4 linked regions of the Rhinolophus ferrumequinum genome follow. The protein of the gene in region 1 purifies or fractionates together with the protein of each later gene. This does not show direct contact. Links are inferred from orthologs where the notes say so. Each region holds a gene or a part of one and is shown in the gene's direction. Other genes may lie near its edges.

What was found.
Region 2: the proteins of ARCN1 (region 1) and COPA fractionate together in Homo sapiens (co-fractionation; 4 studies listed by BioGRID and IntAct, with this or other methods). This does not show direct contact. The link is inferred for Rhinolophus ferrumequinum from reciprocal best matches to the Homo sapiens genes ARCN1 and COPA.
Region 3: the proteins of ARCN1 (region 1) and COPG1 purify together in Homo sapiens (affinity purification with mass spectrometry; 6 studies listed by BioGRID and IntAct, counting the BioPlex papers as one, with this or other methods). This does not show direct contact. The link is inferred for Rhinolophus ferrumequinum from reciprocal best matches to the Homo sapiens genes ARCN1 and COPG1.
Region 4: the proteins of ARCN1 (region 1) and COPZ1 fractionate together in Homo sapiens (co-fractionation; 5 studies listed by BioGRID and IntAct, with this or other methods). This does not show direct contact. The link is inferred for Rhinolophus ferrumequinum from reciprocal best matches to the Homo sapiens genes ARCN1 and COPZ1.

What each region holds. Positions count from the first base shown.
Region 1 is NC_046294.1:87,906,261-87,914,269, forward strand, and holds the start of ARCN1 (coatomer subunit delta), read left to right. Parts: upstream 1-4,618; 5' UTR 4,619-4,775; coding exon 4,776-4,778; intron 4,779-8,009. UniProt on the Homo sapiens protein: Component of the coatomer, a cytosolic protein complex that binds to dilysine motifs and reversibly associates with Golgi non-clathrin-coated vesicles, which further mediate biosynthetic protein transport from the ER, via the Golgi up to the trans Golgi network.
Region 2 is NC_046305.1:28,213,219-28,221,093, forward strand, and holds the start of COPA (coatomer subunit alpha), read left to right. Parts: upstream 1-4,563; 5' UTR 4,564-4,679; coding exon 4,680-4,719; intron 4,720-6,082; coding exon 6,083-6,196; intron 6,197-6,400; coding exon 6,401-6,474; intron 6,475-7,875. Other genes in the region: NCSTN (nicastrin), read right to left, coding at 3,066-3,170, 4,366-4,453. UniProt on the Homo sapiens protein: The coatomer is a cytosolic protein complex that binds to dilysine motifs and reversibly associates with Golgi non-clathrin-coated vesicles, which further mediate biosynthetic protein transport from the ER, via the Golgi up to the trans Golgi network.
Region 3 is NC_046302.1:368,583-376,953, forward strand, and holds the start of COPG1 (coatomer subunit gamma-1), read left to right. Parts: upstream 1-4,604; 5' UTR 4,605-4,716; coding exon 4,717-4,753; intron 4,754-5,693; coding exon 5,694-5,746; intron 5,747-6,215; coding exon 6,216-6,296; intron 6,297-6,506; coding exon 6,507-6,578; intron 6,579-6,762; coding exon 6,763-6,842; intron 6,843-8,009; coding exon 8,010-8,085; intron 8,086-8,349; coding exon 8,350-8,371. UniProt on the Homo sapiens protein: The coatomer is a cytosolic protein complex that binds to dilysine motifs and reversibly associates with Golgi non-clathrin-coated vesicles, which further mediate biosynthetic protein transport from the ER, via the Golgi up to the trans Golgi network.
Region 4 is NC_046293.1:54,055,819-54,063,696, forward strand, and holds the start of COPZ1 (coatomer subunit zeta-1), read left to right. Parts: upstream 1-4,554; 5' UTR 4,555-4,593; coding exon of another isoform or gene 4,594-4,611; intron 4,612-7,878. UniProt on the Homo sapiens protein: The coatomer is a cytosolic protein complex that binds to dilysine motifs and reversibly associates with Golgi non-clathrin-coated vesicles, which further mediate biosynthetic protein transport from the ER, via the Golgi up to the trans Golgi network.

The sequences.
Region 1 (8,009 bases):
ACATTAAACACTATGCGGAGAGGTGCGATTCCAAACCAGCATTCATCCTGTTCCTCACCCAAGACATTAGTTTCACATGAAAACTTCACCCCCATTCAAACTTTCCTTAAGGCTTCTTGGCCCAAGATCAAGCAGTGAGATCATCCTGCTGCAATCCATATTTAGGAACTGCTGACAAGCTAGCTGAGGAACCAGAGAATCATGGAGGGAAACAACAGCCAACTTCTACACCAGCTCCCCAAAGCTGTTAGGCACACACAGGCACACGGGCTAAACAGTATTCGTTTATAGATAGCGACTTAGGTTCCTTCGGTTTTCCCAAGGCTGTCGCTGTTTCTCAGGGGAGGCTGTAGAGGCTCTAGAATGAGTTCTGTCTCTGGGGTTACCTCGTTTACCGGAACAGAGGGTCAACTCCAGCCTCTCAGTCCCATCCAATAATCCCGAAAACATCACCCCCATCTCCACCCCCCACCCAACTTGCAGGTCGGGTCCCCCTTAAGTTCTTGGGGAGTAAGAGAAAAGCAGGGTGGTTGGTGGAGACGTGAACGAAGGGGAGAAGGAACAGTTGTCATGGAGATGAGAAGAGATTGGGGGATTGGAAGGAGAGAATGGGAGTCCGCTTAAATTCCTCTTGGGAGGGAGAAAAGGAGTTCTCTTCCGGAGAGGGTGAGTACCAATTACCTGTAGCCCATCTGAATCCGTCTCCTCTAAATTGAAAGAACCCCAGCCTGGGGCTGAGGTCTCACTCCAATGTCAGGCCAAGCCACTCTAGGGATTCTACCTGGAGCAACCGTCCAGTTGTCAGGCGCTAGGTAAAAATAAATAAACAAACAAATTTTAAAAATCGCGAGACTTGCTTTCACTCTCGTGAGACTTTCTCCACTCGCGCCTTCAGTCCCTGTGAGGGAAGGCTCCAAGGAGGATCAAGAGCGTCTCCGGGGTGGGGGTTGGAGGAGCCTCTCTGGGCGATCAGGTCGCCTGTTTGTCTATGGTTTCAGTAAAGGCGTCTGTGGCGGCATCCAGCGGCCACGGGTGGCAAAGCTGGCTGATGAATTTGGGTTTATAAAGTTAACCCTTCAATCTGGAAATAATCATGTGCATTTTACCCCGTAAGACAATTACCATTGGTCATGCAATTCCTCCTCTATCAGTCTAATCAGAATTTAGACAAAATCTCTAAGGAATAGTCCAACAACACTTTGTACGTCCTTTTTAGCATTTGTATTACATTATAGTCCTTCCTCTTTACGGTGTCCCATTGCATAGGACATTTCTTATACTAACAAATTATTCGTTATTTATCTGAGATTACAATTTATCCTGGTGTCTGTATTTTTATTTGCTAAAGAAGACTGAGCTTCTTTAGGGCAGCGTCTGTGTCTAACTAATTTTTAAGATCTTCATAGTGTCAGTGCATTGCATAAATTAGGTGTTTTTAAAATGCTCATTGGGTGGATGAATGAGTGAACAAAGATGTAAGGAACAAATATTTCAAACTACAGACATAGTTAATTTGGGGAGTAACAAAGAGAGAAACAAAGAGAATAATATTGGAAATTTGACCCTGAAAACCAGCCAGAGGAAAGCAGTAAAGTGGCTTTTAAAAAGAAAATGAGAAACACCTCTTCTGAGACTCTTCTGGTTAAAAATGCAACTGCAGGGTGGCCGCATGGCTCAGTTGGTTAGAGTACAAGCTTTGAACCACACGGTTGCCAGTTCAATTCCCACATGGGCCAGTGAGCTGCGCCCTCCTCAACTAGATTGAAGGACAACGACTTGGAGCTGATGGGCCCTGGAGAAACACACTGTTCCCCAATAAAAATTTATCTAAAAAGAATGGAACTGCAAAACATTTTTTAAAATTTTTTGTCATCTGTTATTGCTAATAATAATGGATATGTATTGTTGAGCATTTACTATGTAGGACCACTTAGATTATATAATCTTACTTATTAATATATTACCTAACTTCACAACCTTATGAGATAGATGTTACTGTCAATTTACAGATTAGGTAATTGAGGTTTTGGAGAATTAAAGCAACTTGCCTAGAGTCACTCAGCTACGGTAGTAAGTGCCGACAATGGGAGTCAAACACAGGTCAGTCTAATTCCCAAGGCTCTGCTTTTAACCATTATGACTTTCTGCCTTTAAGGCACTCCTCACAAAGCATGCTTGCTGGGGTACTCTTCTTATGCAGTTTAATTCAACTGTCGTATTTCTAAAGAATCAGCATCAGTTGGTCTTTGTGAGCTTTGGTTGTTCCACACTGAATGCCCCTGGAAGCTGCCACAATAAAGCAATAATTCCAGACATGATTTTTACTTTTTTTAAATTAAGAATTTGTTCATCTTTTTAAAACTGCATGTCCTTTTTATAATAAAAATAAACAGTACAGTTTGACATAGATCCTCCCAGACATGCAAGTTCTAAAATATGGGGGGTTTGTAATGATTCTACTAGAAAGCCACTGGAGATAGAATTGAAATGAGTGGGAATTCTATAGTGCAGTGCTTAAGAGTATAGATTCTAAAGTTGAGCAGCTTTTGTTCCAATCCTAGAGTTACTACTTTCTAGCCGTGAGAGGTGTGGTAGAATAGTTTTCCTCTTTGTACTTTGGTTTCCCTGTAAAATAAAGATATTAATGGTTCCTATGTCAGAGAATTTTTGTGAGGATTAAATCAGATAATCTGTGTGAAGAGTTTAGGAATACACAGTATTCCTAAATACACTGTACATTGTAAGTGCTCAATAAACATTAAGGAACATACCGAAGATGTACCATGTTTTCTGAAAAATAAGACCTATTCCGAAAATAAGCCCCAGTTAAGATCGTCAGCCAGATGGACGCATTTAGTACATTTTGACGATGTTCCAAAAGATGACATGACTGTATTTGAATAAATGTAGATTGTTGTACATGAAAAAAATAAGACATCTCCTGAAAATATGCCCTAATGCATCTTTTGGAGCAAAAGTTAATGTAAGTCCGGTCTTATTTTTGGGGAAATACGGTATAAGACCTGGTCTTATACCGGAACATGGCATATATAGAGAGAGGCAGGTGTGTCATAATGAGAAAAAAATGGGTTTGAATCCTGGCTCTATCCCTTACAGACTGTGAGTCTGGGCAAGTGCTTGACTTCTTTGGTCCTCAGTGTCCTTATCTGGATTGTTGTAAAGGATTACAGCTAACATGTGTAAAGTACTTGACACAAAATAAGCACTCAATAAAAATTTGCTGTTTATCCATTATTGCAGCAGTGTTTGAGTGTTGTAGAGTTGAGCCAGTGATACAGGACGAAATGATATAGGGGAGAACTGCTGAATCACATATGCCCTAAGTCCGACACTTGACATGGGAGAACTATCAACAGAATCAGAAGGCTAGATTTGACTCTTGCTTCCATTATATACTGGCCTAGAACTCTGGGTAAATTTCTTAAACTTGACATCAATTTTCTTCACCTACAAAATGAACATGAACGCAGTAACTGCCCTGATTCCCACACACTTTTTAAAAAAAGGTATAATTTACAAGTCATATAAATTAACCCTTTTAAAGTGTACAATTCAGTGGTTTTTAGTATATTCACAAAGTTGTGTGACCACCACCTCTGTATAATCCCAGAATATTTTCATCACTCCAAAAGTCTCACTCCCCATTCTTCCCCTCTCCCACCTCCTTATAGCCCTACATTCTATCTCTATGGATTTGCCTATTCTGGACATTTCATATAACTTGAATCATATAAGATATGATCTTTTGTGACTGGCTTCTGTCACTTAACATATTTCCAAGGTTCATACTTGTTGTATAATGTATCAGTACTTTATTCCTTTTTTCAACTGAGTAATATTCCGTTGTGTAGATACACCACATTCTGTTATCCATTCATTTATTATGGACATTTCAGTTGTTTCTGCTTATTGGCTCTTATGAATAATGCATCTATGAATATTAGTGTACACTTTTTTGTGGGGACATGCTTTCGATTTTCTTGGGTATATACCAAGGAGTGGAATTGCATCATATGGTAACTAGGTTTAAATTTTTGAGGAACTACCAAACTATTTCCCAAGTAGCTGCACTATTTTACATTCCCACTAGCAGTGTATGAGGGTTCTAATTTCTCCACATTCTTATTATACCAACATTATTATTACAGGCATCCTAGTGCAGGTGAAGTGGTATCTCATTGTGGTTTTGATTTGCATTTCCCTAAGGACTAAGGATGTTTGAACATCTTTTATGTGCTTATTGGCCATTTGTATATCCTCTGGAGAAATGTCTGTTTCACCCATTTTAAAATTGGATTATTTGTCTTTATTATTAAGTTGTAAGAGTTCTTTATTCTGGATATTAGGTCCTTATGCACACCCGGTTATTTCGTATGTTAAGTGATGTAGTGGCTGTGAGAGTTTTATAAACTACGAGAGGTGTCAAAAATTAAACAAGGGCGCTGACAATAAGTGAAGGGACAAAAATACGAGGTTCTATCGCTTGGGTGAGCCCGATCCCTTCTTGGCCAAGTCGCGTTCTAGCTTTGCACGCACAATTTCCCCACCCCATGGCGCCCCGCCCTCCGCCCTTTGACCTGCGCAGTTTCCGGTTGAGACGTGGCTCAGGGCCGCCATCTTGGCGAGAGGCAAAGCGGCTGCGGCTCCTGTCAGGGGGGCAGCAGGTCCAGAGCCGCCGGTGCTTTCCTTTCCCTGACCTCAGCCCTAGCCCCAGTGGAGCCAGAGCGCGGGTGCGCCCCACCACCGCCCTCACCATGGTAAGATCCGAGCCGGGCCGCATTCCCGGATCTGGCCTCGCGTGTCCGCGCTCTCTGCGGGTCGTCTTGGTGTTATGGCCAGAGGAGTCCCTGCTTGAGGGCCTGGAGCACCTGGAGCACGGCGCTTCCGCCCGGCGCTACCCTCGGGGCTCGGGGAGCTGTCTTGTGCCCGACCTCTCGGGAGATCGGGGGACCTGACTCCTGTATCCTCTGTCGTAGCGCCCACACCCTTTCCTTCCCCACCCCCAACTGGGCACCTTCTGTGCTGAGATCCGGGCCCTGGAATGGGCTGGGGTTTTTGCTCTACTAGAAGCTCGTAGTGATAGCGCTTGGACCCCACTCTGCGATCCTCCGCGCAAAAGTCCAGCCTGTTCCATGGGTGCCTAGCTCGGCAGGCTGGACTTCTCTCCGGGGATTCCCTTCCCTCTGTGATCAGTTTGCCTCCCATCTCCGGTGTTTGGTAGGCCGTTAATGTTCGAAATCCAAATTCATTGGTTTTCAGTACTTCTTTTGTTTGTTCGAAAGGGGGAAATAGAGGAAAGTTCGAAAGGAGGCACAGAACACTAGTTTGTAGACCCAAGTGTCCCTGAAACCTTCCACTACTTCTACAGAACTTAGGTGTGTCCATTTGTCAGTGAGATTGAGTATATGCAATGTATAGAGCGTTGGGAAAATGTGAGCGAGTTGTAAAGAATATAGGCTTTCTGTCTTGGAGAAACTTACTGTTCAGGTGAAGTAAAATGTGTATAGCAGATAGTAAGAAGTTACACTCTGCAACCTACTTGCCTTTAGATACATTATCTTTATGTTCTCATCCACTGTAGAGATGGGAAAATTTAATGTGGGTGAGGATGGGGACAAAACACTGCTGACTCCACTAAATCTTGCTGTATCACTAGAATTTGTGCACAGATATTTATGAAGTAGGAGAAATTCTTTGGTTCCAAACGAGCTAGTAATTTATTTTTTTAGTGCACTTTATGCCCTTCAATCTTTTGAAGGAAGTTTTTTTTTTCTTTTTTATTGTTAGTAGATTAATCATTTGATTTAAAGCGTCTTTCTACACACTTGAGAGACGACGGTCGAATTTGGTGTCATTCATATTAAGTTCAATTGACAACCTTTTAGATGAGAACATAGATGGTGGAGGATTCATGGTTGGGCTTTTAAACACTGAAAGGTTTTCTTCAGCTTCAGGCATATAAATTGCATCAAGCAGTTTTGCGTCATAAAACTTTAATGTTGCACATAAAATTTTCAAAAACTCCTTTTTTTCATTTCTATTAGGAGTTTCAGTATTTGGATAGTGATTTTTAAGCTTCTTTTCCTTTTATGTCCTGAATGTGTTTGTAGTGCATTTTATAGTGTGTTGTAATTTTAATAGCAAAATTAAAGCCTTGTTTTATATAAACCAAATGTAGATAATCTTTGCAAACAGATGCTGAAAAGTTCTTGGAACTTAGTACAGTAAGTCCTCACTTACTATCATCAATAGGTTTGTGACTTTAAGCAAAATGACATAACGAAATCAGTTTTACCATAGGCTAATTGATATAAACAAGAGTTAAAATTCTCACAACATCTCATCAATATAACAACATGATCTTGAGTGAAACTGTTTTTGAGGACCTGCTATATTTTTAATTCATTGATAACTGAGGCATATTAAAGTTCTAGGTGTTAGTGATAAACAAAATATAAATTTTGCATATTATTTGGACACGTGTGCATATGTATACAGTTGTGTCATGTTTAAATATGCGTATATTTCTGAACTAGTTGGAACCTGGCATAATCTAGATGCCCACAGATTTGTGATTTCTGGAGAACATCCTCTCTCAGTACATTCTGCTCTGTTGAGTCTTAAGACATTAAGTGTTATTTCTGTGTAATATTTTTGTGTCCTATTCCTTTATGAAGATATTCCTGGACAGGAAAAATATCCAAGTAGAGTGACATTTTGTAAGATTTTTTGGATCTAAAAGTTGTTTCAAAACTTCTGAAAATTGATTTTTTTTCTCAACATTTCATTTAAAATTTTCAAACATCTAGAAAAGTTGAAAGAACTTCATAGTGAACACCCATATAACCACCAACTAGATTCTGTAATTAACATTTTACTATACTTGTTTTATCACACGTCTAATCATCCATCCATTCCTCCATACATCTTTTAATGCATTTTAGAGTAACTTGCAGATATCAGTACATGAATGTTGATTTATGAAATACAAATTTCCTTTGGCTTTAGTTACTGAAGTTAATAATATTTTTGTCCTACGCTTCAAAGTCCTAGTAGAGAAATAAATGAACAAATGCAAAAACAAATGGCTTATGATGACTTTGTTATAAAATGAAGAAATAAAAAAGACACCTTTTTTTTTATTTTTTAACTTTTATTTAAGCGTGTTTTTCCAGGACCCATCAGCTCCAAGCCAAGTAGTTGTTTCAGTCTAGTTGTGGAGGGCGCAGCTCACAGTGGCCCATGAGGGGATAGAACCTGCAACCTTGTTGTTAAGAGCACCGCCCTCTAACCAACTGAGCTAACCGGTCCTCCCCCCCTTTTTTTAAGCTTTTATTTCTTTAAGTAAAAAAAGGACATGTTTTGATTTGATCTTTTTTCTAGTTTTCTGCAAATTAATCAGAACATGTTCTTATTTTCCTAACAATAATACATTGTTAAGTATTATTATAGTTCCTTTTCTTAATAAACTTACATTTGAAAAAACTTGATATTAAATCTCATGGTAACACCAATCTCTAAAATCTTTGCTTATCTACAGAGTGCCGTTCTTTTATTATTAAGTATAGGCAATGAATAAACTTAACTATAGTGGCCACATTAAATATAAATGATCACATTAAGTTCAGTTCCCAAAAGCTATTGGTTATTAGAAAGTTAGATTTCGGTTTGTGTGGCTGACCTATACATGATGGGGAGAAACAAATCCTACACAGTAAAAACTTCCCGATTAGAGGGTTACTATTGCTCTCCTCCCCTTTTTGTGATATACAAACAGCAGCTGTGTAGCTATTGTATTCTTTATGTATCTTTCCTTTTTTTTTTTTTTTAATTTTTTGGGGGAACATTGGGAAACTGTGTTTTTCCAGGACCCATCAGCTCCAAGTCAAGTCGTTGTTTTCACTCTAGTTGTGGAGGGCGTAGCTTGCTGGCTCATGTGGGAATCGAACTGGCGGCCTTGGTGTTATGAGCACTGTGCTCTAACCAGC
Region 2 (7,875 bases), on another chromosome or scaffold:
GAGGTCTTGTTCATTAAAGATTAGAAAGGCTGTGTGATCTTCACTTTCCTGCCCTCTTCCCTCAACCTCATAAGTCATATATGCAAGATTCTATGACAGCAGACACCAAAGGGTTCAAACCTGTATTTTCTCCAAGAAATGGCAGGCTCTAAATATCTAGCTTGTTCTAGCACTGAATCTTCCTTTGTGAAAACATATGTGCAGACTCCGTTGGCCTCAGTAGCCTCCCTGGATCTCTATTCCTTTGCCCTATTTGGGAATAACTTTACTTGCTTTTGGCCAGTTTTAGGTAAAGTTCATCAAGAACACTAAGGTCTCTAGAACAGAGCTTCCCAATTGATGGGCCTTGAATCATTTAGAGATGTGCTGATATTGATTCCCTTCATTTCTGGGGACCCTAGGCTGGAGCAGACTCACCTATTACCCCAGGAGGCTCTACAAATATCATCGATTTCTATATGTGCCAGAATGCCATACAAATAACATTTTCTATGTATCTCATCACATTACAAAGATTGGGAAGCACTGCATTAGAGGATAGATGACCCTGAGTTCTATGTAGCAATGCAGCTCAAGTCCCTAGTGATCCATGTAGAGACATCTTAGGGTCTCCCCGCAAGTCTTCTTCCCACTCAAAACTGGATGTGTTATTCATAAATTGTTTTAGAGCAGTTCTCAACTCTGGCTGTATATCAGAATCACTTTGGAGTTTTTAAAAATACAGATACTTGGGCTTTACCTTAGATCTACTAAATTAAAATCTCTAAAGGTGAGGCCCAGGCATGTGTATTTGCAAAACACGCCACTTGTGGTTCTTTATTATACACAGCCAGGCATGCAAATTATGGCTCTAGACCAAGGCACTGAAATACCTGTAACTTCCATGAGACAAAAACTATAAGCACTTTCAGACTGCCAGCCAGGTAGTCTTTTGCTCCCATGGGATCTGGTAAAATCTAGATATGAAAGCAGGTCCACAACATTCAACTATGTCTTACACATAGCAAATACTTAAGTTCATGTTGATAGTGACGATAATAAAATACAGAGGAATATCAGAATCTGGAATAACTTTAGTAAAGATCTACCTGGGAGCATTTGAGATCTTGCTCCCTCGCATATGTCATCAGTTTGGTTCAAATAAAGTCTCATTAAAAAAAAAAAAAAGACCTACCTATCAATGGCAGTTCTAAGTAAAATAAAAGACAGCAGTCTTTGCCATAGTATTTAAAACATGGGAAAAGGAAAAGCTAGTCTGGCAAATAAAAAATATGTAACTTCAGCTCCAAGGAGGACAAGAAGAAGACAAGTTATGACACTGAAAAAAACCTGGATTCTAATCTGGGTTCCAGTGGGTGACTGTGTTGTCTTAAGTAATTTGCTTACTTTATATAAACCTTCAATGAGGAGAAGATTTTCCACCCCTATCTATCTTATACTGTAGGGACAAATTCAAAAAGGAAAGAAAGGAATGAAAAGAAACCTACATATATAAACTCTTCGAGCACTTTAATAGGGTCTAACAGAAACAGGGCATTCTAATCAGAAAATCAAACCTGGGTCTTTCTCCTTCATTTTTATCATGGTAGCAACTCTAGTTAAAGAGAGCGTAGCCTGCTCAGGACAGACATACATGATGAAGTAAGACTTAGAAATGAGTAGGTTGAAAAGGAAACAAGATCTTAATGAGGAAGTGGCCAGAGTCCAGCCCCTCCCCACTTGTTTCTCTGTATTGGCACTTGGCTGTATCTCTAGAAGCTACTGCTTTGCTTCCAACAGGGCTGCTCTAAGAACATGCAGCAGAATGACTCATTCCCAAAGGGGTATCTTGGAGGCTAGCTCCAGGAGGACGGGGTCCTAGCCCTTGCACTAAAGTGGGGTTCTAGCAAGATCAGCAGTCTGACTCAGCCCACAGTTTAAGAACTAAGTCCAGTTTAAGAACTAAGTACAACAGAAATGTTATTTGGAACTGCTTAAACCAATTATCCTACTCCCAGTACTTCCTGTAGCAAACATATGGGACAACATAAGAGGAAGGATAGGTACAAAAGTAGTAACTGCCACCTTGAGCAAGTCCGTCACTTCTGTGTCCCCGTTTTCTCCTATAAAATTAGGTTTCAGGAAAGTCACAGAGTACTGCTGAGACCACATTATTTACTCAGCATCATCAATATACATTTATTAAAGGTTGTCTGACTTTCAGCTTTGTGTAGGTATATTGTCTTTATACGAGTAAACTGAAATTCAGAGGTGACCAATTTGATGAAGGAGCCAAGATCTGATTCTGTTTCCTGCTTACCTGCAAAACTACATTCAGACAGAGCTACTATCCACAGAAGAACAAAATTTGAAGATAGCAGGTTAAGCAGAAGAGGAACTGGGATTCAGACTTCAGATCACAACTTTTTTCCCCTTTCATAGTTTTATAGGCATGTTGTCATGGTACCCTGTTTTGGAACACATTTACAAAGCATAAAGACAAATCCAAATGCTTTACAAATTCCTCTTGCAACTATTTGGCTTTATCAATGCCTTCTCTTCAAATAGTTCACTGCCTTCAAGAAGCCCATTTTGGTTGCAAAAAGATCATTTAGAGTTCAGGTAATGACTGAATTCCATAGAATATGAGACTTTTTTCTCCTAAGAAAACAGTATAGTTTTCCACTTGACCCACTAGGTGGTTAAGAGTCCTGGCTTGGAATCTGGACCACCAGGGCTCAAACCCTAGCTTCATCCTTAATAGCAGGATGATCCTGGAAAAGTTACTGAACTTCTTTAAGTCCCACTCAGTTTCATCATTTGTAAAATGAGATAATAGAGCCTACTCCATGGGGTTGTTGTGAAGATTAAATGAGATGCACATGTAAGAAGCTTAGTATGCAGCATTTGCTAAATGTTAGCTTTTAATAACTATCTTGCCTGGTTTGACAAATGGTTCTCTACCAGCTCCCACCCACATAGCCTAATCTGTATGCTGAGACTCCCAAGCAGGACTTGGATATTTATATCGAGGGCAAAGACTGAACCATCAATGGCCACAGGCAAAAATCCCAACCTCAACTCACAATGGCAGCCAATCTGATGGGTGGCATTGAGCAGACGGACACAGGGAGCTGTTTTATTTAAGGGAATGTAGATCTTCCTCTCCACTGAGTTTCCCCCGCACAAACCTGATCAGAAGATAAAAAGTGTTAGTAAAAACTAGGATAGTACTAGCCTCCATCTTGTCTTTAGCTCACTGGATGGCTTGGGCATATCATACTTTCTAAAATGGGACTAATGTCCATTCTTCTCACTTCTTGGGCACATTACTGGAACACCTAAATGCAACCACCTATGTGCCTCAGAGGGTTATTACAAATTCTACATAGAGCAACTGACAGTGAAGCTAAAAGAAAAAACTTCTTTTGTCAGAGGAAAGGCATTTAACCTCAGATGTACCAGCTTCTGGTTGCATCGGTGACCACACTTCCACTTTTCTATCTGTATGTGTATTACAAATTAGTTAATAAAAGGGTTCCAATCTAAGATTATAAATTACAATTTAAAAAATCTTTCTGAGACTTTTTTCCAGGAGTCTGAACAGAATTGGGAGAAAATCTTTGCCACACCTGTCAGTTAATCTAACATCAGTACATCACTTGTGTGTGCCCAGTGTGGGGCGGCTATAGTTTCTCCTTTGGGGATCTTTAAAAACTATGTGAACTTGGGGAAGGTATGGTCACCGTTATATACAGGCATGTTTGAATTTTAGGGCTTGACAAACTAGAAAGCCATATACCAGAAAATAAATGCGTATAAGCAAACACTTATATACATTATAAATGCTTAAAGTTCCTTGAATCATTATTTCATGGTCTAGACAGTTAAGAGTACCCCATATCCTGATAACACAAACTGAGGAAAAGTACGGAGAATAAAGTACGCGGAATCAACAGCAGAGAAAATGAGGAATCTACTGTTCTAATAAGCGCTGCACTGCACCCACAGAACGAGGCTGCTTTCATCTTGAAATGTCTAACCGCTTTGGGAAGGAAGCTGAACGATGACATCTGTCCTTTTTGATTGTGGGTGGGGTGGCTGGGGCCCTGGGGAAAAGAAGGCATCCGGATAAAGTGGGATAGAGTCGGGCTGGAAGTCCTGGAGAAGACCTGGAGGAAGAAATGGGGCGACCCGACGTGCCGCGGGGGAGAGACCTTCGGGTCCAAGTAAAAGGGAAACTTCTGTCGTGGGAACGAATGAGAAAGAGATTTACAGGGTTGGGGGACAGAAGGGCAGAAGGAACCAGGAGATAGACGGTGGCGCTCGCGGCTGGGCCGATCCGAAGGGTTCTCCTTACAGACTCACGGACGAGGGAGGCCTCACCTGCCAGGAGGACGCAGAAAGACAAAAGGCAAAGAAGATCCCGACATCCCAGGTAAGCCACAGAGGCACCACCCCCGGCCGTGGCCATTTTGTCTCTCTGCGGAGCGGAAGTCTTTGTGCCCCTCCTGTCCGTTCGTGGCCTCTCTAGGCCCACACCGGCGCCGTCTCTGTGGCCCGGAGCTCCAGGGACCGGAAGTTCGTGTCTGGAGGAACTTCCGGGAGCTGCTGCTGAGGGCCGCTGACGTGGAGACAAACGAAGGGCTTCAGGGAGTGGCGGGGCTTGGATTAGGAGCTCGGAGCTGCAGGCCTGAAGGATGCTAACCAAATTCGAGACCAAGAGCGCACGGGTCAAAGGTAGTAGAGGAGCATAGGGGCTGGATGTCAGGGGCGGCGCTGTCACCGGGGAAGAGAGAAGGTAGACCGGTGGGCCGAATTGGGCCCTCGGAACGAACCCTGAGGAAGATGGACCGGAGGGAAGTTAGACCTGCGGGCGGTTCTCCAGCCCGCCACACCTCAGGAGGGTCCTAAGGCCCGTTTTCAATTCTTTCCCTTCTCCTCATCTGGGGCCTGTGTTCCTGACTTTTATTCCTCTGCTCCCAACGCCCTGTGACCTGTTGGCTTTTTGATGACGTATTCTAGGGAGTGTCCCTGGGGATTGAGTCTCGACCTCTGCCATTTGTATCCAAGTCAGTAGCTTTTTTGGAGATGAGCACTGGCTACCTCACTTAAGGAGGCTGCACCAGGTCAACATCCAATGCCTCCATTGGGCTTTATTTCCTACTTGGAAACAGGACATTTAGGCCTGTAACCCCAGTAAAGTCTGAACTTGATAAGGTTGCCAGGATGCCCGGTTAAATTTGAATTTCAGATTAACAGTAATTTTTGGTATTGTTCATGGTTTATCTAAAATTCAAAGGTAACTGGGCATATTTATTTCCTAAGTATGGCAATTCTAGAGCTTTAGTATCAGTGGTTGGGGGTGGAGGGCAAATGACTGAAATCACAGCAGTAATCTCTTAGAATGTTACAGTGGGAAAGGCAGAGAAATAAGGTCTTCTGAGATTTGGAAAAAGTATATATCTTGAATATTTAGTAAGATGCAGCTTGCAAAGTGGTTAGGAACTTAGCGTTTGGAATCAGATGGGCTTGCTTTGGAATGCTGAAATATCCATTAGCTAGGTGTATGACTTAACAGTTCTAAATCTGTTTAATGTGTAAAATGTGAATAATTAACATTCTCTAATAAAGATAATTAAAATGGGAAAGTATATGAAAAGTGCTTGTTACAGTGCCTGACATAGACTCATTAGCTTAAAAATCTGTTCTTGCTAGCGAGGATGGAAAGACCTCCTACAACTACAAGGCATATAGAGACTTCAAAAGGGTATTGCATTAATAGTGGTGCCAAATTAGACCTACACTAAAGACTGCTGTGGACCCACCCTAAAAAAACTTAAAACGCAAGTGTCAAAAGAATCAACTGATTCCAAGTAATTTAACTGCACCCTAAGACAAATTCCAACAATATTTAAAAGAAGATAGCAAATATTTTTTTAAAATCCAGCACCTTATAAAATTCACAATGCCCAGCATCCAGTGAATGAATGAATGAACCTAGGATTAACTTAGCTGTTCCTTTTTCTTATCAGAATTGACAGGAGGTGACTTTGTGAGGCTTACTTAATTTATTGGATCACTCTCTGCTTTTTTCCCCCAGGGCTCAGTTTTCACCCCAAAAGACCCTGGATCCTGACCAGTTTACACAATGGAGTCATCCAGTTATGGGACTATCGGATGTGTACCCTCATTGACAAGTTTGATGAGCATGATGGTAAGATAATAGTTTCTAGGAGGAAATTAAAAAAAGATACAAGTATTTATTGTCCTCTAGAATACTTTAAGCCTTGTTTGACATTAATTCTTTTAGGATTAAACAATGTGGAGGGGATAGAACTGGAAGATCCTGAATAAGAATCACCTTAGAGATTAGGAAGCATAGCTCTCTTTAACATATATTGCCTGCCTTTTTCCCCAGGTCCAGTACGAGGCATTGACTTCCATAAGCAGCAGCCACTGTTTGTCTCTGGAGGAGACGACTATAAGATTAAGGTACAGCGGGTCTGTCATTACTAGGAGTAAAGAACAGAGAACATGGAGTTTGGGAATTGTGGAAGGGTCTAAAAAACAGTACTTCTTACTCATACAGAGCTCAGGCTTTTCACAATGTTATCCAGAACACTTATCCAGCAACATTTACTGAATGTTTACTGTGTATCAGACACTGTTTTATTTTTTGGGAATTCAAAAATAAATAAAAAATGGCCTCTGTTCTCCAGGAGCTTTCATTCTAATAGAAGAGATAACTGTATATCCAAATAATAGGTGTGTACAGTTTAGTGAGTGATACAATAGAGAGATAACCAAAGTGAAATAGGGAAGGGCATTCCAGGTAGAGAGACCAAAAAGCATGACATAGCTGGATAAGAAACTATAATTAGTTTTGTGTAAGATGAGAGAAAGGGCCAGATCATGGAGTTTGCAGTGTTCAGGAGATTGGATCTGTACAAATAACGAGGAACCATTAAAGGGTTTTAAAAAGAGGAGTGATATCAGACTGACATTTTTTTTATAACGATTACTTGTGTGGTAGTATAGAGAAAAGATTGGATGAATTGGGCAAGACTGGAGGCGGAGATACCAGTTAGGAGACTGTTGTATAAGTTCATATGAGAGAGGAACAGCGCCTGAGCTTAGGCAGTAGCATTTGAAATGGAGAGAAAGATGGATATGAGTGCTTAAGGAAATGAATCAGTAAGTTTGTTGCATGGATGTTAGAGGAATTGTAAGGGAAAATAAGTGAGATTATTTATCTCAGGCTTCTAACTTAGGTCACTAGGTGGAAAGGGTACCATTAACTAGGAAAGGAAAAACAAGTACAATTTTTTGGAGTGGAAGAAGATGGTGTCTCAGTCTGTTCGGGCTACTATAACAAAATACCACATACTGGGTGGCCGATAAACAACAGAATTTTTTTTTTTTTTTTTTTTTTTTAAAGGAGGGCACAGCTTACAGAGGCCCATGCAGGGATCAAACCGGCTATCTTGGTGTTACTAGCACCACGCGCTAACCACCTGAGCTAATCAGTCACCCCCCAGAAATTTCTTTCTCACAGTTCTGGAGGCTACAGGTCCAAGATCAGGGTGCCAGCATGGTCCGGGTCTGCTGAAGGTCTTCCAGGTTGCAGACTGCTGACTTCTTGCTATGTACACACATGGTGGCAGTGGACAAAGGGATCTCTGGGGTCTCTCTTAAAAGGACACTAATCCCATTCGTGAGGGCCCCACGCTTACGACCTAAGCACCTCAAAACTCTCACCTCCTAATGCCATCACCTTGGGCGTTAGGATTTCAACATAAGAATTTTGGGAAGGACACATTCATTTCATAGCAGATGGGTAATAATTACCATCTTGGTGCTGATGCCTAGTGGAGCTATATCTGCACAGGAGAT
Region 3 (8,371 bases), on another chromosome or scaffold:
ATCAATGGAACAGAACAAAGAGCCCAGAAATAAATCCATGCCTATATGGTCATTTAATCTATGACAATGGAAGCAAGAATTTACATTGGAGTAAAGCAGTCTGTTTAATAAAAGGGTCTGGGAAATCTGCAAAAAAATGAAGCTGGACCACATTCTTATGCCACATACAAGAATAAATTCAAAATGGATTAAAGATTTATATGTAAGACTCAAAACCATAAAACTCCTAGAAGAAAATATAGGAAGCAAATTTACAGACATTACCCTTAGTAATATTTTTACTGATATATCCCCTTGGGCAAGGGAAGCAAAAGAAAAAATAAACATGTGGGATTACATCAAACTAAAAAGCTTTTCTACAGCAAAGGAAACCATCAACAAAATAAAAAGGTATCCTACTGAATGGGAGAAGATATTTGTCAATGATACATCTGATAAGGGGTTAATATTCAAAATTTATAAAAAACTCATACCAAAAAAAACCAAGCAACCCAATTAAAAAATGGGCAGAGGACATGAAGAGACTTTTCTCTAAAGAGGATGTACAGGGGCCGGCCCGGTGGCTCAGGCGGTTAGAGCTCCATGCTCCTAACTCAGAAGGCTGATGGTTCAGTTCCCACATGGGCCAGTGGGCTCTCAACCACAAGGCTGCCAGTTCAATTCCTCGAGTCCCGCAAGGGATGGTGGGCTCTGCCCCTGCAACTAAGATTGAACATGGCACCTTGAGCTGAGCTGCCGCTGAGCTCCTGGATGGCTCAGTTGGTTGGAGCGTGTCCTCTCAACCACAAGTTGCCAGTTTGATTCCTTGACTCCCGCAAGGGATGGTGGGCTGCGCCCCCTACAACTAGCAACAGCAACTGGACCTGGAATTGAGCTGCGCCCTCCACAACTAAGATTGAAAGGACAACAACTTGACTTGGAAAACAGGCCTGGAAGTACACACTGTTCCCCAATAAAGTCCTGTTCCCCTTCCCCAATAAAATCTTTAAAAAAAAAAAAAAGAGGATGTACAGATGGCCAAGAGACATATGAAAAAAATGCTCAATGTCACTAATAATTAGAGAAATGCAAATAAAAACCATAATGAGTTACCACCTCACCCCGGTCAGAATGGCTATCATCAATAAATCAACAAACAGCAAGTGCTGGCGAGGATGTGGAGAAAAGGGAACCCTCATGTACTGTTGTGGGGATTGCAGATTGATGCAGCCACTACGAAAACCAGTATGGAGGTACCTCAAAAAACTGAAAATGGAACTACTTTATGACCCAGAAATTCCACTCCTGGGTATCTAACCAAAGAAATTCAAAACACTAATTCAAAAAAATATGTGCACCCCTATGTTTATTGCAGCACTATTCACAATAGCCAAGATATGGAAACAACAGAAATGCCCATCGATAGACGACTGGATAAAGAAACCGTGGTACATTTATACAATGCAGTATTACTCGGCCATAAAGAAGAATGAAATCTTACCATTTGCAACGACATGGATGAACCTAGAGTGAAATAAGTCAGACAGAGAAAGACAAATACCATATGATCTCACTTATATGTGGACTCTAAAGAACAGATTAAACGAACACACAAAACAGAAATAGACTCAGACATATAGGGAAAAAAAATCTGATGGTTGCTAAATTGGAGGGGTGTTGGGACTCTGGGGGAGAAAGTAAAGGGATTAGAAAGTACTAATTAGTAGTCACAATATAGCCACGGTGATACGAAATACAGTTTGGGGAATATAATCAATAATGTTGTCAAGATTATGTAGGTTGCCAGATAGGCACTGTACTTCACAGACTGTGTAGATACCTGACCACTGTGCTATATACCTGAAGCTGAAGTTGAATACTATTGAATGTCAACTATAATTAAATATATATACCATGTTTCCCCCAAAATAAGACCTAACCGGACAATCAGCGCTAATGCGTCTTTTGGAGCAAACATTAATATAAGACCCGGCCTTATTGTACAGTAAGACTAGGTCTTATATAACACCGGGTCTTATATTATTAATGTTTGCTCCAAAAGACACATTAGAGCTGACTGTAAGGTTAGGTCTTATTTTCGGAGAAACGGGGTATATATGGTCATGGGAGGTGGAATACAACATTGGGAATATAGTCAGTGGAATTGTAACAGCTATATTCGATGTCAGAGGGGTAGTAGATTGGGGGCCGTTATCACTTTGTGAGGGTTGTAAATGTCTAACTATTAAATTTTTTTGTAACAAAAAAGGACTTAAAAAATGTATATCCATAAAATGTAATATTATCCAGCAATTAAAAAGACTGAAGCACTGATTCATTCTACGGCATGGATGCACCTTGAAAACATTGTGTAAGTGAAAGAAGCCAGACACACAAAAGGCCACATATTGTGTGATTCAATTTATATGAAATATCTAGAATAGGTAAATCCATAGAGACACAAAGTAGATTAATTAATTAAAAGTAGACACAAAATAGGTTGGAGGGGGGAACTAGGGAGGGGTGTGAGGAATGGAGAATGAATGCTAATGGATATGGATTTCTTATGATGAAAATATTCTGGAATTAGTGGTAAAGAGAACACAATCTTTTGAATATACTGAAAAGCACTGAATTGTACACTTTAAAAGGGTGAATTTTAAAGTATATAGATTTTGTCTCAATTTTTAAAATGCAGTAAAATTAATAAAAATAATATCACAGCTAGGATATTGATATTGGTATAATCTACCAATGTTATTAAGATTTCCCTAGTTTCTCTCTTGTGCTTTCAGTATTCTGTGTTTCTACAAAGGACTTAGCAATTATGAAGAATTATATTACTTTTAAAAATAATAAAAACCCTACGATTATATGTAAACCCATACTTAGAGCTGGAGTTACAACCCACAATTCTCATTGTAATTTCATTACAAAAATTGCCCTTCATATATAGTTTTATAGAACTAATATCATAACACAAAAGGCTATTTTAATTCAACGCAATTTATCTGTATATCACGTTCTTAACACAGCAATATAAATTTCCAGGGTTCTTTTCTGGTTTTTAACCATGAGGCATACTTACTTCATCTTAATTATGAACACTTTTACACCATGCTTTTCTTTTTTAATGTCTCGTTTATTATAAGAAGTTTGCATATTGCCTCCCAAGACATTAGAAATATCCCTTTGTCTATTCACTACGTGTACACTTAAAACTAACATGTTGAATGCCAACTATAATTTAAAAAATAAAAACCAAATAAACAGAAAAGAAATACTCCTTTATAAAAGGGACAGAATATTTCATCCGATGGCTGTACCATAATTCCCATAAATTATCCCCTTATTGTTGGACATTTTGGATGTTTCCAATTTTCTTGCTGCAAACTGCTGCAGTAGGCAACTTTATTTTCTTCTTTTGTATGATTTCCTCCGGATAAGGGGTGGGGTTTCCTCCGGGTAAGGAGAAGGAGAAAGCCTCCTTCTCCTCCCCGCAGGTCTGGGGGCTGGTTACTGATTCAAGATTTTGAACATCTTTTTGGCTCGTGGCAATTTCACCTTGGCGCAACATCTGCTCTCCGCCTCCCCTGCTTCCTGCTAGGCCCCAGCCTCACTCAGCAAAGCATGACCCTAAAGGCTGGCCCCTCCCCCCACATACCCTTTTCTTCTGCTCTGCTGTCACCCTTACCTTCGTCACCTGCGGGCCTCTGCTCCAGATGCTCAGCAGGCCTCCTCCTCCCCGCAGGTCTCGGGGCTGCCTCCTCCCGAGGCAAGTTGGTGCTACGCGTCGCAGCGCACGGCTATCCTGACTCAGCTTTGCCACAACCAGTGCAATTTGGCACGTCGGTTCTCACTGTCCTTACCTTGGCCTCAAGGTGTCCTGCCCAAGTCCCCAGGAAGACAAACCCTGAGTGGTGTTTCATTTTCCCCTTCCCATGCTTTCCCGCCCCCAGCGCTGGGCGTATCTAGTAGGCCCTTGATAAATACCCAAAGTATTTTAAAAGCACATTGAACTTTTTCCATGCTGATCTTTCACTTTAGTTAGATCCCTTAAAGTACAAAACAATCTGCACCAGGAGCAGACATGAATTATAAGAGCAAGTTCATGCATTAATTCATTCAACAAGAATTTACTGAGCACCTACTACATGCCAACATTATGCAGGCCAGTGAATAAAAGACAGTAAAAGCAATATAGTGAAAATAGTGTGTTAGATGGTGATTCGAACTAGGGAGAAACATCAGGCCAGGGTAGAGTGAGGAGTGGCTAGTGAGGCCTCCCTGATAAGGTGACAATAGTAAGAACTGGCAACATTAATTGGGGTCTATTGCGGGACAGTGTACTAGGGCCCTCACTTCCAAAAGCCGTTTAAACTCACGGCACAACGCAATGAGGCAAAGACGACTACTACTCCCATTGCACAGATAAGGAGGGAGTAAGGCGCAAAGCTGGGGTGCCGGTCAGTCCTGAGTCTAAGGCCTCGGCAGTCCCCCAAGGCCTCCACGTCCGCCTATCCCCGGCCTCCGGACCTACCCCGGCGGGGACAGGGTTAACTCCAGACGGGACCTCCCCAGCCGGAATATGCGCTTGCGCAAAGCGCGGAGTGCGCCTGCGCAGAGCGCGGTGCGACGTGGCCAGCCGGAAGTGGCTTAGACGGAACTGTCACCAGACTGAGCTAGCCACGGAAGTCCAGCACAGGGCTGCTGCTTTGCGACCCCGCTGGAACGACCATGCTGAAGAAATTCGACAAGAAAGACGAGGAATCGGGTGAGAGAGCCTAGGCCTGGGTCAGGCTGGACCATCGTGCAGGCTGTCAGCACCCTTCCTAGGAGCCCTCTTTTGGGATTTCTGTCCTCACCCGAGGTCGAGGCCCAGTGAGAGGCAGGGTCTTGTGCAAAGGTCCGCAGCTGGTCAGTGGCAGGCCTCGGAGAGCCCGAGCCACTGTCCTCCTTTCTTAAGCTCGGACCGCGATTCGCTGGGTGACCATGGGGCAGGTCACGCGCCTCTCAGCGCCTTAGCTTCTCCATCTGTACGGGGAGTAGCAGGTGCTCCTTTATTACTTTCCAGTCTGACCTCTTGGGATTCGCCGGGGATGTGTTGGTGCTGGCCAAACTGGGGTATTTTCTGTGGAGCTCATGTCTTGGAGCTGAGAACCTTGACTCGTTCATTTATTCAGCGAATATGTACTGAGCACTTACTACCTGCCAGGAATTGGCATGTGTCCAGCACTTACTGCAGTGTCCTGATACTGCAGGAGGACAAGTGAGACACTCAGTGCCTAAGCTTGGAATAGTAGAATAGTCACAGGTATAATGGAGGAGACAGACAGCAACCAAATAGTAGCACATGTAGTTAATTACAAATGTGACATCTGCTGTGAAGAAGTACTAATCGCTAGGAGGTGGTGGTCCCTATGCAGTAGTAGGGACTCGGTTTAACTACCTTTTGCATAAAGGAATGCAAGACATGACACCATGAAAGGCAAAAAAGGACCGTGCCAGGGCTGTTGGGTGACTTAAGTGCTTTATGGTAGAGGGCGCCCCCTTGCAGGAGAGGGATAGGATCTATATGCAGGTTGTGGTTGCCATTCTGAGTTTAGACTTGACTAGGTAGACAATAGGGACACCTGTCCCTTCTCTATGGGAGAGTTTTGAGATTCAGGGTCACAACTTATACTCACTCAGTCTTTTCTGCTCTCCAACCGCAGGTGGAGGCTCCAATCCATTCCAGCACCTTGAGAAGAGTGCAGTACTCCAGGAGGCAAGTATCATTTGCTCCCCTCCATCTTTCATCATAATGTTTACTATCGATGCAGTTTTAATACTAACACATTGAAAGTTCTGGTTTAAAGAAGAAAGTTCTGGTTTAAAGAATAATAGGAGAGAAAACCTGTTTCTGGAAAGACAGGAAAGCTTTGTTCCTGGAGAGAGTTCATCGTGCTTACATTTTTGTAGTGGTTCTTCATTTCTCTTTCTAGTTAACAAGCATTTAATAATTATCTTTTAGTCAATAAGTCAGTACATTCTTAACTGATATTTAAATTTAAGGAAGATTTCAGCAGTTATTAATAAATCAAAGGAAAAAACTATTTTCTTAGGAAAATAAGCTTGTCTAAGCAAGTGTATTTATTTACCCTGGGACTTCCCAGCCCTTGAATGAGCTTGAGGGCAGTCAATGGAAGGGAAATAAATTGGGCTAGAAGATAATATCCTTGGTCCCTTCTTCTTAGGCCCGTGTATTTAATGAAACTCCCATCAACCCTCGGAAATGTGCCCACATCCTCACCAAGATTCTTTACCTCATAAACCAGGTAACAGGGTCAGGTTGAGGGGTGGAGAAATGGTGTTGGGGGATGTTGCGGGTAGGGGGGAGAAAGTCAAACAGCCCTTAGGCGATTCAACAGCTGCTGTGTGGTTGTAACCAGCAGCCAGGATCTGAGGATTTGGCCTGGGATGATCCAGCAGGAAGAACCTTCTGGACCATCTGTTCAAAATTGAAACTTTTTTCTTGGTTAAAATAGGGGGAGCATCTGGGGACCACTGAAGCAACAGAAGCCTTTTTTGCCATGACCAAGCTCTTTCAATCCAGCGATGTAAGTGCCCCAACCCCAGCTTTCCTTGAGAGGGGATAGCTATGACAGGGTGGTAGGAGCACCAAGGGAAAGTGACCCCACCAGTCAGTGTGGACTGCCTTTACATCTTCTGGAGTTTTCTTTTCCTCACCCTGACCCTCATACTGGGCTAAAGGTTATAGGATGTTTCCTATCTCTTTCCCAGCCCACCCTCCGTCGGATGTGCTACTTGACCATCAAGGAGATGTCTAGCATTGCAGAGGATGTCATCATCGTCACCAGTAGGCAAGTTTAGGGTCTGTGGATGGCTGTTCTGATGGGTTCCATTGATACAGAGGCCATTTTTTCTCATGTGTACTAGACAATGAGACTTTTGATTGACATATTGCCAAGTGTCCTTTCATCTTCTGTCTCCCTCATTCTTCAGTTACAGCTGCCTACCCCATGGCAGCCTCCAGAGTGTGCTGTTTCCCTTTTAATTTTCTGTCCTTAGCTTGGGCACAAACCTTTCTTTCCCTTGATTCCTCTTAGTCAGCTGAGCCAGAATACAACTCTCACAACGACTTTAGTGAGTATCAAGAGAGAACATGAGAAAAATAGACATAGAGAATGCAAGAGGTGTACAAATAGACCTCCTTACTAAGTATTTCTTTCTATCGTAGGCTGAGTGATTTAGGAGACAGATGTGACTAAAGTACAATCCCTGCCTTTGAGAACTGGGGCACAATTCTCTCATTTCTTCTTGTCACAATTTTTTTGGGGGCGGAGGGAGGTGTTATATATTCATTTGTAGATTCATTTAGAAAATATATTTTTGACTGTCTACCAGTCCCTGTGTGTAGCTCTTGGAATAGAACAGCAAACAAGACAAATATGTCCTCTGCAGCATCCCCAGAATTGACAGAGAAATAATCAGATAGTCAGGCGTTAAAATAGGATATATTATGGTTTACCATGGGATGTGTGATGGGCTGTGAGAGCAGATCAGAAGGGCACCCAACTTGAGTTTGGATCAGGAAAGGCCTCCTAGAACTGTCTGAGTGGAGTCCTGAAAGAGGAGTGAGAAAGAGCAGGCCAGAGGTCGGGGGGCAAGGCGTTCCGGGCTAAGGAAACAGCATACCCAAACACCTGGAGAGGAACAATCACATGCCCTACTTGGGGCCTTCTTTGTTGAAGAGTTTATGCTTAATGCTAATGGCAGTAGGAAGCCTTGGAAATGTTTCAGTAAAAGCAGGGGAGTGACCTGGTCAGTTTTAAGGTTTATAAAAATCCCTCTGGCTGCTTTGTGAAGTTTGGCTTGGAAGGGACAAAAATAGAGAACAATAATTAGGAGACTTGTATAGTAATCCAGGCAAGTGTGGTGCTGGCAGCTAGAGAGGAGTGGACAGGGACTTGGGCTTGTGGAAGGCAGGCCAGGCTCCTGTGTAGGGACAACACCCTCTCCCCCTGCAGCCTGACAAAGGATATGACCGGGAAAGAAGACAACTACCGGGGCCCAGCCGTGCGAGCCCTCTGCCAGATCACTGATGTGAGTCTGCTCCCCCACCCAGCCATCCTGCTCTTACCCTGCTTTTCAGTAAAGGTTCAGTTTCATCCTTGGCACGCTGTAGGTTGTCCCCCACCTCTGGGGCAAAGCACCGAGCCAGGTGATGGGGGGTGAGAGGTGAGGTGCACGGCAAACATGTTTGCTTTCTTCCTCCTTTCCTCACCCACCCACTCCACATCATCTGCATTCCTAAAGGTTGCTGAGAATTTATTGTGTCCCCTCTTGCCCCATTCCTTGTCCCTCCAGAGCACCATGCTGCAGGCTATTG
Region 4 (7,878 bases), on another chromosome or scaffold:
TTTGATATTCAATTTTTTATTAGTTTAAATTATAAATATATGCTTGTTGTAACAAAGTCAAACAATACCAATATATACAAAGAAAAACTATTTAATAATCCAGTCTTTCCATCTCACCCTCTAAGATAACATATATTAATATTTTTCTTCCACACTTCCCTTTATGTTCCCTTTGCTTGGAATGCTCTTCCCCCAGATATTCTTATGGTTCATTCCCTTGTTCTTTTCAGGACTTTTATCAAATGTCCCCTTCTCAGTAAGGTTTTGACCACCCTATTGAACTTTCTCCTTGTCCTTCACTTCTCCACAATGTGAATAATACCACTCCAAATGGTGAAACATAGTGGGATTGCCCTCGGCCTCCTTTTCCGTTGTAATTTTCTCCATGACATTTATCACCCCCTAACCTCCTATATAATTTACTTATTTCTTTGACTATTATCTACTTCTGTTCCTCAACCAGAATGCAAGGATTCTATGAGGGCAATGATACGTATTTGTATTGTTCACTGTTTTTATATATCCACTGCTTAGAGGGAGTGGCTAGCCCATGGCTAGCATTTAATAAATATTTGCAGAATGAATGAATGAATGAATGAATGAACAGAATAGAAACATTTCAAACATAGTTATTCATAATTAGCCTTATATTTTTAATGAAAAAATGGAATCATACCACATAAATTCCTCTTTAACTTACTCTTGTCATTTAACATTTCATTACCATTTCTCCAAGTTAATGCATATACCTCTAGCATACTTTTTAAATTTATTGCATTGTTATTCCACAGTCTGGATATACAATAATTTATTCAACTATTCTCCCTTTGATAGACAATGTTATTTTTTGCCATTATAAACAATGTTGCAATAAGCACTCTTATGTATGTGTCATTATGTACTGGATTGTGTTTGTAATTCTCTAGGAAAGGATGTACCCATGTTTAATATTACAGGAACTGCCATAATACTTTCCAAAAGAGAGTAACACTTCCAACTCCCACCATCATCTGGTCCCACTACAGCAGTTACCTACATTTGTATTCAATGCATTTCACCATCTGGCCACAAAGTACCTTTCCAGTTTTATCTCCATCCCCTTCCATACTATTTCTTTATTTATCCTCTGTCCCATGAAACCAATCCCTCAAAGATTTCTTACATTACACAACACTGAAGACATTGTGTTAAGTGAAATAAACCAAATACAAAAGGACAAATATATGATTCCACTTATATAAGGTACTAAAATAGTCAAATTAAGAGACAGGAAGTAGAATAGTGGTTACCAAAGTCTAGGGGGCAGGGGAGAATGGGGAGTTATTGTTTATTTAATGGGTATACAATTTCAGTTTGGGATGATGAAAAGTTCTGGAGATTGATAGTGGTGATGGCTGTATAACAATGTGAATATGCTGAATGTCACTGAACTGTACACTTAGAATTGGTTAAAATGGTATAAACTTTATGTTACATATAAAAGTAAGTAAAAACATTTTACAATTAAAAAAAAGAAAAATATTTCTTGCACATCCCAGACTCCATTCCTTTATTCATACCAAACCCTACCAGTCATTTCATCAATGCATGAATAAATCAAGGCCAAACTCAACAGCCCTTCTCCTGGATCTTGACTCTCCCACCCAAATCCCCAGGGATCACTTCCTCTCAATATCTGTACCCTTTATTTGGCATTTAATCCTAAACTGCACTTCGACACTGCTCATTTATCTTTGTATCTTGCATTTTCACAAATATTCATTCTATTCAGCAAACACTACTTGAGTATTTACTATTTGAGGGCTAGATGCTAAGTAAATAAAATGAAAGGGACAAAGCACTGCCTCAGATGACAAGTCTGATGAGTTAGATTGATGTATTAAAACATGACTATAACCAGAGTCGATGATGGCAGAAATGAGGAAGTGTCCAAATCTACCTGGGCATATCAGGGAAGTATTCATGGGGAGAAGATGTTGATTTTGTCCTTTAAAAAATAGCTTGTTTTTCTCCTTTTAAAATAGCACCCATGCATTTTAGAACACCTAGAAAATATGAAAACATTGAAAAAAGTCCTAGCACTTTGAACTAGCCACTGGTTACATTTTTGGGTATGTCCTTCCAGTCTTTTCCTCCACACAATAACACACACACACACACACACACACACACGGTCGATCCTTGAACTACACTGGGATTAGGGGCTGACCAATACCTCATGCGGTTGAAAATCTATGTATAACTTTGACTCCCCCAAAACTTAAATTACTAACAGCCAACTGTTGATCGGAAGCCTTACAGATAACATAAACACTTGATTAACAAATATTTTGTATGTTATATGTATTATATATTGTATTCTTACAATAAATAAGCTAGAGAAAGAATATGTTATTAAAAAAATCATCAGAGAAAATACATTTACAGTATTTATTTAAAAAAACACATATCAGTGGACCCACTCAGTTCAAACCCGTGCTATTAAAGGGTTAACTACGTGTGAGTGTGTGTGTATACATATGGTTGAGGGAACATATGTATTTTTCATTTGATTGGTTCTTAAAGGTTTTCCAGCTGAAGGTGAGATGGAAGCAAATGAAACAAGAATGATCATAGAACTTTAATGCTGGGTAAGGAGGTAGGGCCCTAGAAAGCTCTGGTCTGAGACTCCCCATTTTCGAGAAGTGGCAGCTGTAGTCTGGAGAGGGTATTGGTACTTGTCAAAATTCTCTCACTTGTTAAGGCAAAGTCAAAACAAGAACTAATGTCTCCCATTCAGTTAATTGTTTTCCCCCCACTGCAGTTACGCAATAGGTTGGAGAGCTAAGAATCAACCCTCTTCTGGAACAATGTCTGAATGTTAAGATTTGTCAGTACACAAAGAAAGAGGAGCTAACCCCCTCCCCCAAACCAGCCACACCACATATTTTTCTCCTCATGGTCCCTATAGAACATCTGGTGTAGGGTACTTCAGGTAGGACTAGGTAGGATACAAGAGAGGCTGTACCACAAGTCAGAGTGGATTGTGGGTAAGAACATGGGAATCCTTAGCATGCATAGGATTGTAAGTAAGCACATGGTTTTAGAACCAGACCTCCTATGCTCAAATGTATGGCTGCCAGTGAATACTTGTATGGCCTTAAGTAAATTATGTAATTGCTCCCAGTTCCACCAGTCCCATCATAAGGGTTTTTAAAAATATTAAATAATAAATCCAAAGATTTAGCATGTGTCTGGCCCATAGTAAATTGTCAATAAATGTTAGTATTATCATTAAGCTGCCAAGCCAAGGACAATCTTGTGATGCCAGGCATAAAGCTAAATGTTTGAGTATCTCCCCATTTGGAATAGATAAAGGCTTCTTCAAGATATGAGCCTTGTCACCTCGGATTTTACCAGAAAATCATATACCTTCCTTTAGAGCAAATGTCAGCTCTGTAGTTTGTTTTGTATTGTTATACTTTTCTCTTAGGCCCTCTGACTCTACTCTGAAATTATTAGAAAAACTCATGATTACGTTTGAATCATGGGAGAGCTTCTGAATCATGGGAGAGCGTCTTGGGAGAGCTTCTAAAGAAATAATGTCAGAGACAGAAAAAACAAAATCCCTTTGGGGATAACACAAGGCAATAGAAGGTGTCCTTGACCTAAGGGGAGGTAAGGGACCAAGGAACAGAGGGGTAGGGGAAAGCTAAACTTCATCAGAACCCTTCCCTATTGTGAAATCCCTGCATTCAGTAAACTTCTCTTTTCTCATTTTGCAACGGCTTGTCCTTACTGAACGACCGCAGACCCTGCTCCCCATACCCTTCCTTATCCTGGACCCTTTACCCCTCTGTCCCTCCTACTCTCTCCTCTCTGGTTTCCAAAACTCTTAACATCCCAGTTTACTTGCGGCCAAAGAAATCTGCTTTTAGAAACTCAGTGGGTCATTCCCTGGGACTCCACCTTGGGAAGATTGTTACTGTAGCAATCAACTTTCTGGAGACTTTGGTTTATCTAGTTAACACCTTGGGCATCCCTTGGCTTTATTCTATGGTTGGGCAGACTTTCTGCGAGGATGCTCAAGTGATCTGAGCGAGTCTGAGGAAGAACTAGCAGTGTTTGCCAAAGCAACCGTGAACATCAGGGACCTAATCGGAGTTCTTGGAATGCGGATTAGGGTAGGATTCTGCCAAGAGCTGCCAGTGTTAAACGTTAAGGAGACATAGCGCCCCCTAAAGGGAGTGCGGATTAAAGTGGCTAACCCAGGCTTACGATATCACGTGCTCCCCGCCCTGCCAATTGAAAATTAATATTCGCTTCCTCTGTTCCCCATGGAAACAACCCCGCCCCATTGACTCTCCCGCCCCATTCAGTCGTGAGATTTTGGCGTTTTATTGAGTGTTTAAACTGACAATCAAATACCTGCGCCTTCTGGCTGGAGACCTTGCTTCCGCAAAGCAAACTAGCACTCTGATTGGTCAATAGAGCAATAGCTGGCACCCCGTAGTCCAATAATCCCCATCCTGGGCGGGGTCGAACGAGGACGTAGGGCCAATCAGCGGCCGCGTTCTTTTTGCGGCTCCACGTCGGCACCAGCTGCGGGGCAAGATGGAGGCGCTGATTTTGGTAGGAGCCGGGGCAATCGAGATGCTACGGTGTTAGAGGGGTCGGGAGTCGGGGTTCAACCTGACTGGAAGTGGGTAGATACGGGAGTTCCGGGTAATCCTCCGGGACCGAAGGTTCTGCCGGCCCCTGGAATAAGGGTGTGGCCTAGTGCAGGAGCTAGAACCTCGGTTTAGAGTAGGGCACAGTCGGAGAAGAGGGCAGAGTCGGTGGAAAGTTGAAGGGAGCACACGGGGTCCTTGGGACGCATAGGATCATAAGCCTACTGGATTGAGGTCCTTCAGGTTCCCCCGATTCTGAGCATTGTGGATGATATTCTGATTTGAGTTTCTCCAAACTCGCCCCAAATTGTAAGAATGGAGTGCAGGTGTTTGTCATCACAGGCTTCTCCTGTTGGTTGTCACAGTTTGATACTCCATTGATAATTCCCCGTCACATTCTTTCAGAAAACTATTCTTTTTGCTTGGTTTCCTGTTAATCCCTTTTATATAGATGTGTCATGATAAAGAAAGAATCAGTATTCCATCAATGTTCTGGAATGCTTGATGGAGTTAGCATGGATTGTGGAATATTTTTTCAGACTCCTTATTCTGGTCTCCTTTTCCCTACCCATTTAAACTTTAGGAATTCTTATTGTAGGATCTGGGATGCTAACTCTCTCTGGTGAGAGAGAGAGAGGAGAATTTTGGTGTTTAAAGGGGTGTATTAGCTCCCTTGTCCATATGATCCTTTTAGCTTGTTCAAACAAATAAAGCACTATTATTCCTTCTTTAGACCTGGACCACAGCATTTCTCTCAGAAGTACCTGTTTTGCAACTAGGGGAGATGTTAACAGAGATCTGCGTGTAGGAATTTAGTTCCCACTTCCTTCTTTACTTGAGTTGAACTCAAGGCCTCTGTCATGCAGGGTGTCATGCGGGGTCTCAGTTCCCGCTCCCAGCCCAAGAACGCAGGATATGGTGAGACCAAAAAGGAACACCAACGGAGCCATAGATAGGGGAGTCATAGCACTATATTCTCCATGGCGGCTGGGTTGGAGACACAGGAAGCAGGATCCACACCATGTGCAACCCGCCGTCCGCTTCTCTGCCAGCCAACCTCACTTGTTAACTGCAATCCGCAATCTGCGCTTGTTAGCTTAGCCACAGCAGTTATATCAGTGGCTAATGGCTAACCGGTAACAGCTGATGGCCAACTAGTCACAGCTGATGGCCATCTACTACCTGAGCCAGCACCTTTCCACGTGAGGCCGGGAGCCTGGAAACTGCTCTCCTGGCTCTGTCTGCACAGCCTCTTTTTTGTCTTTGTCTTTCCTTCAATTCTAATACATGTACACATTCAGATCCTCATCAGGTAAAAGAGAATAACAGATTTCAGTTCCCCTCTTTGAAAATGGCAAAGATAGAGATAATTCCTTCTCATCATATGGGTTGGTCAAGCCTAGATATTATAGAAAGCTTAAAACGGAGTACTTTTTAATAAGATATTTTCTGTACCACGCACTTGAACAGTATTCTTAAGCAGTTAACAGACTGAGATAAGTTCAGGGGAATTGGTTTCTTTTGAAGTTTTTGGAAATTTTTAGACTGCTTCCTTGCTGGTGCCTGGCCCCCTGCATTTCGTTAAGAGAAGCAATCTCTTCTTTAGAAAGGAGCCTGTTTACAGGTAAAGAAAGCAGTGAGGGAGATGATACTTAGGGAGCTGTTTTAACCAGAGATCTGTGTGTAGTGGTGAATTGAGGCAGTTATACGTGAAAGTCTTTCACATTTTCTGTTAAACCCAGGTTCTCTGTCTCTGCTTCCTCAGTGAAGTGTATTTCAACCTGCTGCTTTTTTATATCCATTTTAATCTGTACCTAAGATGCAGCATTCACAGAGCCATGCTAACCGGTCAGGTACCCCTGAACTTTGCTTTAAAAACCATACTGATTCTTTGTCATGACAAACTTATATAGTGGGGACAAACCAAGGTATAGGGAAAAGGGCTTGCTCAAGGAAGTATAATGTCAAAACTAGATTAGATTTTGATTCCTAATCCCATACCAGTTGTCTCTGTTATCTCATCGTCGGCTTCCACTTCTTTAATATACAAAACTGTACTTTTGACCATCAGTTATATAAAGCTTTTGTTGGGGACAAAGTACCAACAGGTATCAATTCTTATGCTGGTGTCTCCAGCGTTCTTAGAATATTAAACTAGTATTTCCCTTCCTCCGTGTCAGCTCTTTCCCACATTTTATTCTCTTTACAATTTCAATATTTTGGGCTCCTAATTACGAATTTATATACCTTTCTCATCATTCCAGCTCTTCTCAACTGGAGTTCCAGGAAAGAATTAAGCCCTAATGACTTAAGGTATTCATTGTATGTAATGAACCAATTTCTGTCCTCTGTAACCGCAATGGCACTAGTTTTGTTCCGTCTTTGGGAGAAGTGAGAAAATAGTCACTTCAATAATTATCAGTATTCAGTGGTTCAGATGTAGAATCCTAGTTGAGAATCAGGTGATATTTTCTAAGTTTTTCTTTCTCTGCTCACTACCCTCACATACTAGCCCACAAAATTTAGCTCTATCTGATTCAGAATTACTCTTCCTCACTGTTCCTTTTAATCTCTTCCCCTCTTCTGTCTACTCAGGAGTATCGCATGAGTCTTAGGTTGCCATGTTCATTATGAAAAATGTAAAGAATCCCTGGACCTTACCTTAGCTCTGTACTGAACTAAAGAGTTTAGTGTACCTGGATAGTATTTAACAAGCCATTCCTTAGAAAGGGAGACACCTTCTAAAGTTCTTTTAGGCTTCCTCCTTTCACATTTTTATTTCCTGGTTTGGCTGGACCTCTGGGGAAATCTGATCAGAGCATATTCTTCTATCCTCACCTCTACAAGGCACCCAGCCATAGAATATTGAGAAGGGAAGGGTAAGCTAGAGGCGGTCAAGAAGAACCATCAATCGAAATTTGATCTGACTGGGTATTTCTAAATACCAATCGGTTCTCTTTATTTCGGTACTTTATTATGGGTCACATTTCTTTCTTGAATTAAGTAATTCAGCCCTAGCTTTCAAGCACATCTGTCTAATCTCAGGTCTTTTTGTAGTCTCTAAGGAAAGAGACTCTTTCATCTCCTTTTAGAAATGCTTAATAATGATGCTCCCAGCCTGCATCTTTGGACTCAGCTTCCTCTCTCCTGCTGTTTTCTGCTGTTTTCCCTTTCTTGTGAATGGAGAGGGATCTCTGCAGGTCACCATTCTCCATTAATAACCTATGGA